Danio rerio: one gene and its partner. The protein of the gene in region 2 purifies or fractionates together with the protein of the main gene of each other region. This does not show direct contact. Links are inferred from orthologs where the notes say so. Each region holds a gene or a part of one and is shown on either strand. Other genes may lie near its edges.

Region 1 (4,073 bases), on a different chromosome or scaffold from region 2:
TCCACCATTACAAGAAGCGCCACCTCATGCATATCGCTATTTTGGTCTGCCTCTATTATTAAATGTAATGTAAAATGTAAACACTGTACAATCTTCATTGCTGATCAACAATAATAGTCCCAACTCCATATTGCAGATGCTGCGATGTGACTACTGCGAATGCACACACTGCAATATCGATGCTGAAACGATATATTGTGCAGCTCTAATAAACATCATCTGATTATACAGAATAATTACTGCTTGCTCATTTCTATGCGTTTACCTGTTGTGTATGGTTGAATCTGGTCCTTCTGGGTGTCTCCAGTCTGCACCTTTCACTGGTGACCACCAAGGAGCAGCAGCCACCTACTGACACACACAGACACTGTAGTGCAGCTTTGTTTTTTTTTTGTTTTTTTTTTATAAATGCACATTTGGTCTATTCTTGGCTATATTTGGAAATTAACCTCTTTATGAAAGAAGAGCTCATGCAGCAATCTAAAGTCACTTAAAAAAAAGTAGCTAAGTGTGACACTAAATGAAGGAAAGTAACATTACCATATACAGTAATACAACAATAAACATTAGTTTCCTTCTTTCTAATTTCTTTTTGTTTTTACCCAAATCCTACCCCAAGACCTGTGGAGGTGTGGAGGATTTCCAGCATAATAAGATACTAAGCTACTTTTTAAGGAAAGTAATGTGCAAGTATTTTTGCATTGTAACTTTTTTTTTTAAGAGTAAGATAGGCTTCAAATTTTAATATCTTACTTTTTATGCAACACTGCGACTTTACAGTATATTGGTTATTTCCAAGATAGTCTTCCCTGGTCCCACTTAATTTAATTTATACAGATAGTTTACATTTTAATTAGACATTTCTCTTTTCTCTTCATCATTCTGGGACCTTTTGTAATGGCCTTTATGTTTATATACACTTGAAAAATAAATAGAGTACTATTGGCAAACAGAATTAAGTTTTTAGGTGTAAACTATAGAAATGTAACAAATGTGTATGTTTTATGTTATTTAATTAGTCATCATTACCTTTTATTCAACGTTATTTTCTTTAAAGTACACAAATCTACTTTAAATAGAGTATTTTAATGTCACCAAATGTTTCTTGATTAAATTTGCTTGACAAGATTATTTGTTATGTAAACTATGACAATGAATGACATTTGGAAGGTGTATTGTGGAAAATTGTTTTGCTTAGTTAAAATACACTAAATAAACAGGACGTATTCTGCACAGAGGGAAAAAAACTCAATGCAAAGCTGTTTTACATTTGAAATATCTGATGTTTGAATTCATTTCTTCTTTGATCCACACAGTATACAATTTATCCAGCAGCAAGCAGTGGGTCATTATTGCATGTGTACACATTTCTCACCGCATGTGACAGTGTGCTCTTCACTTCTTCACTCAACAGTCCCTCAAAAACAAAGGAATCTCCAAAACGCTCAGCCTAGATAAAAAAATAATCATAAAAAAAAAATAAAAAATAAAAAAAAAAAATATATATATATATATATATATATATATATATATATATATATATATATATATATATATATAATATTGAGAGAGAGTTGGTGTACTGATAATTTGTCGTATAGCCGTGTAAAGGGTTATTTACCTCCGTTATGTAACCGGTCTGGTTGGTGAAGTGCTGGAACTGCTGGTTTGTGACTTCATGCTCTTCAATGTAAAAAGCATCCAGCTTCACTTTCCTCTGAGGTCCTTCTCCATCCTGTGGTATTCCTGGATCATCTGTTCCCATCAAAAACCAACCTCCCTGCAGCAGCACCAGCTACACACACACACACACACACACACACACACACACACACACAAACACACACACACACACACACACACACACACACACACACACACACACACACATACATACATACACACACACACACCATTCAGCTTTTATGTACAAGTCAATAGTTTATTAAAAAATGTGTTTTCATCATCACTTCCTTTTATTATATAACATTATTTCTTCCCTGCCTAATAAAGTCAGAATTAACATGTTGTTCATGTTCATATAACGTAATGATTATGACCACAGATGTCAACCTAAATGTCAAGTTTTAAATCTAAATAATTACTTTTGCATTGGTTTTCTTTCATTTTTGAAGATTCACAGATGAAAACATCATGAAACAACAATAAAATAAAATGAACAATTTACTCTGATTAACTGCTAATTTCTGAAATGAATTCAACTGAAAAGTGAGCTCTTACTATTTATTTATTTTTTGCTCACAGAAGACAGTAAATGACCAAACTAAACAACACTAGCTACTCGTCAAAAGTGACAACAGCAAACATACCTTACTGCGTACATCAGACTCAGTCTTGTCTGGACCCTCGTTCGCTGTTTTGGAGTAAATATTTGCATCATCGTGATGATCCAGTGTGTTTACATCGCTTACACCAACAGAAACTTCTCTCTTCAGTCCCTGACAACCACAATCTGTGCCTTGCGACTCCGGGGACTCCGACCTCTGCTCCTGCACAATATCGCCTACATCGCAACTCACTGCTAAAATACTAAAAAATAAAACCACGCAAATATTCAACACCGGTGCCATAGCCATGAGCCTCAGCTCGTCATGTTGATCCGCACGTCCGAAAACGGTCAGGTGATCAGTCAGCTGACACGTGTGTAGGAGCAGAGCAGACACTCACACTAGAGTAGGCTACTTCACTTTACTCAATTTAACGGGTTTAAAGATATGCATCTGCATTTATCTCAGCAACTCTGCTAGCGTGTAGCGTTTGCTTTAGTCACACAATTAATTATTTGTTCAGTTCTGAAAAGAAATGCAGGAATCTGTGACTAGAGGTCGCTGTTTGTGCTCGTCCACATTGTCGTGAGCGCGCCAGGAGGAGTCTGTGGAAGTGCAGTTGAGAAACACAGGTCCACATCTTCAGGACCAGGGGCAGGTGTTCTGACATTTTATCCTACTCATCAGATTATGCTACCAACGCTGTATTTGAATGGTTCTGAGGTTAGGGTTAGGAATTAGGGCGATATTACAGCTTCATAGCACACTACTCCACATTAAAATTTACACTGGGAGAATCTGATTAGCATATTGCGCGATTCGGGGGCTCTAAGCATATCCAGGTAGGGGGCCCAAGCATTGAAACTCAAAGCATTCTCTTTCTCTATAGATATTTTTTCTCTGTAGATTTGTTTTGTTGTTGTGGTTGTTTTGTAAAAAAAAATTATTTGCAATCTTTATTTTCTTAATGTAAAGATAAATCCACAAATAAAAACAAGCATGTACAGTTAATTAGCCATGTTTGTGGTTAGATTTCAATATTTGCATGTGTGGTATTGATGGAACGTTCCATATTCATGTGAGCCCCTGGTTTTGAAATGAAGTAATACAATTAAAATCTTTTATGGTTATAGAAAGATTTCACAACATATGATAGAAAATGTATAAAGGACCTATATGATTAATAGGCTTCTCGTCATTGGTTGGAGTCCCCTACTTCCCCTGGACCCTAAGCGGCTGCTTACCTCGCTTATTGATTAAGTTCGCCTCTGTTCAAGACATACATTTTTTAGACACACATTAATATTTATTGTAAGAAGTTTGTTTTTCTTATTGTTAATTGTGCATTCAATTCATTCATACATTTTAAAGTATTATTTATGACAGACTGTATTTTATATTAAAGGGGTAGTTCTCTCAAAACTGAAAATGTGCACACTATTTACTCATCCCCAAGTTGTTTCAAACTTGGATGAGTTTTATTTTCTTTCTTTTTGCTAAATACAAAATTATAACATTTTGAAGAATAAAACCAAAAAGTTGATTGACCCCGCTGACTACTATATAGGGCAAAAAATATAAACAATACAGCAGTAAATGTGGACTGCACCATCAATGGTTTGGTTGCCAATATTCAAAAATATTTAAAATATCTTCTCTTGTGTTCAGTAGAAGAAAGACAGACTGCTACAGTTTTAAAACTAGTGTAAGGTGTGCAGGAAATGACGACAGAGTTTTTATTTATTTTGGATGAACTATCTCTTTAGTTATCTCTTTTTTAAATGT
Region 2 (3,028 bases):
AATCGCAAGTTGTTCGTGCAAAATCTTAAATGTTGACCCTCTTTATTGCATATTTTCACACATGATTCTACATCTGATCTCTACTCTTATTTACTGATTTATTTGTCAATGTAACATTTCCTAGATGCATAAATTGTAAGCCGTTTGTGTGATGTAAAAAATTCTGTTCCTCACTATTTGGCTTTTTTGCACTTGATTTTATATTTTAACTCTTATTTTCTACTGTAAAAAATGTTTTATTTATATTAATCGTAAAATAGCGTCTTCACATTTTCACACTTGATTTTAGATTTTATCTCATAATTTATTTACTTGCATAATTTTGCCAATGTAACTACATTATCTCTCTGTAAAAATAGTAAATTGTTTGTACGATTATAAAAAATGGTGTCTCACTATTTTGCGCTTGATCCCTTTTTATTGACATAGTTATGCGAATGACAACATTTTCTTGTTATACGATTCATACATTTTTTGTACAACATAACAAAATGCCATCTTTGCTATTTCGCAATTTCAGACTTGATTCTATCTAGATCTCCAATCTTTTATTTACTGTCAGTTTTGGCAATGTGACTACATTTTCTCACTTTTCGAATCAATAATTGTTCGTACAATACTTTTATCGCACAGTAATGAAAAATGTTTTCCCATGCTATTCGAACTAATTGTAAAATGGTGCCTTCGCATTTTCACATCTCTTATTTTATTTACTCACACACTTTCGCCAATGTAAGTATATTTTCTCTCTGCACAAATCGTAAATTGTTTGTACGATATGAACGCTATTTTGCAGTTTTGCACTTGATTCTATTTTTTCTATATATTTATTATATAGAAATTAATTTATTTGATCTCTATTATTGCATTTATTGGCATTGTTTTGCCAATGTTGATCACATTTTCTTACCGTACAAATTATAAATTGTTTGTGCGATATGAAAAAAAGTGAGTTCTCACTATTTCGCATTTTTGCACTTGATTCTGTTTTATCTTCTATCTTATTTACTTGCATAGTTTTGCCAACATAACTACATTTTCTTTCAGTACGAGTTGTTCGTAAGTTCGAATTGTTTCAGTACACATCGTAAATTGTTCGCACGATTAAAAAAATTGCATCATTCGCTATTTTGCTTTTTTGAGCTTGATCCCTTTTTATTAGCACAGTTTTGCGAATGTGATTCGAATGTGATTCAATGAACACATTTTCTTTGTACAAATCTTAAATTGTTCATGCGATATTAAAAAAATGGCATCTTCGCTATTTCGCAAGGTTACACTTTTGTATTTTATCTTTTTTTCTGACATAGTTTTGCCAATGTAACCAAATTTTCTTGCTGTACGAGTCATTAATTGTTCGTACGACATAATAAAAATGGCATCTTCGCTGTTTCACATTTTTGCACTTGATTCTATATTCTATCTCTAATCTTTTGTTTAGATACTGTACATTGTTCGCACGATAATAAGAAAATGGTTTCCTGCGCTATTTGATCTAATTGTAAAATTCTCTTCACATTTTTGTACTTGATTCTTTATTTTATCTCTAAACTTTTATTTACTCGCATAGTTCTGCCAATGTGACCACATTTTCTTTCCCTGTAAATCGACAAAACGATAAAAAAAATGGCATCTTCGCTATTTTGCATTTTTTTTGCGCTTGATTCAATATTTTTTCTTTAATCTTTTATTTACTCAGATGGTTTTGCCAATGTTGATCACACTTTCTTTCTGTAAAAATGATAAATTATTCATACAATATAAAAAAAAATGGAATCCTAAATTGTTCGTAGGATGTTAAAAAAATGTCGTCCCTCACTATTGTTTCCGCAGACATCACTCCTACAATTCTGGACTGGTTCTCTTTGCCGTACCCATCCTACAGTCTCTCCATGTCGCAACCTGTGGAGTTGACGGGTCGCTCTCTCCTCCCAGCCCTGATCTCAGAGCCATCCTGGGACACCGTCTTCTCCAGCCAGAGTCTCCACGAGGTCACCATGTTTTACCCTATGCGCTCCATCCACAAGGGCCCCTACCGGCTCCTCCATAACCTGCACTACCGCATGCCTTTCCCCATAGACCAGGACTTCTACATCTCTCCAACCTTCCAGGACCTGTTAAACCGCACTCAGTCAGGACGACCCACAGGCTGGTTTAAGACGCTAAATGAGTATTACTACCGGCAGCGATGGGAGCTGTTTGACGTCCGGACTGATCCGATGGAGAAGGTGAATCTGGCTGGTGATCTGGATTATTCAGAGGTTCTGGAGAGCCTGAAGGATCTGCTATTAAAGTGGCAGTGGAGGACGGAAGACCCCTGGGTTTGTGAACCTGATGCAGTTTTGGAGGCCAAATTGGAGCCGGAGTGCAGACCGCTATACAACGGACTATGATTTTACAGACTCATGAACTTCTTATGATTCAGGTTTTACTTGTTCTGAAGAATGTATTTGTAGATTTTTTTATTGAAATGTTAATAAAAGGTCTGAATAAAAACAAAAACATGACGTCAATATGAGCTAGATTTGTTTTGTTTGGATATATCTGAAACTGTGGTACTACAGTAGTGCGTTTGATTCACTATAGATTGCTAAAAAGGCAGTAAAGCTTCATATAATGTTTTCACTGCCCTGCATAAATGTTGTCAATCAATGTTATTTAATTACTGTCATTATTAATTATTTCAGTTTAATTTTATTACAAATATCTAAATCTAATCTAAATTAATATACAATTATTAGCATAATCATTTTAAATACTTAACAACAACAATGAAACTAATAATAATAGTATAAAAATGATATACAGAAAGCATATAATTACTATTTTAAAAGCATCAAATTGCAACATTTTAGTAATAATGCAAAGATATACCTAAGCAGTATGATTTGAATTTGATGATAACAACTGTTATTATTTAAATAATTAAAATATATAATAACAATAAAGAAGTATTAATATATTATAGTATATACATGTTTTTAAAATAACACTGAATTTGTAATATGTATCTTATTATTATTAATAT

The links.
Region 1: the proteins of sgsh (region 2) and sumf1 purify together in Homo sapiens (co-immunoprecipitation; 3 studies listed by BioGRID and IntAct, with this or other methods). This does not show direct contact. The link is inferred for Danio rerio from reciprocal best matches to the Homo sapiens genes SGSH and SUMF1.

The regions. Positions count from the first base shown.
Region 1 is NC_133181.1:42,468,802-42,472,874, forward strand, and holds the start of sumf1 (formylglycine-generating enzyme precursor), read right to left. Parts: upstream 2,802-4,073; 5' UTR 2,598-2,801; coding exon 2,331-2,597; intron 1,796-2,330; coding exon 1,622-1,795; intron 1,451-1,621; coding exon 1,376-1,450; intron 349-1,375; coding exon 266-348; intron 1-265.
Region 2 is NC_133197.1:11,183,188-11,186,215, forward strand, and holds the end of sgsh (N-sulphoglucosamine sulphohydrolase precursor), read left to right. Parts: intron 1-1,833; coding exon 1,834-2,393; 3' UTR 2,394-2,513; downstream 2,514-3,028. UniProt on the Homo sapiens protein: Catalyzes a step in lysosomal heparan sulfate degradation.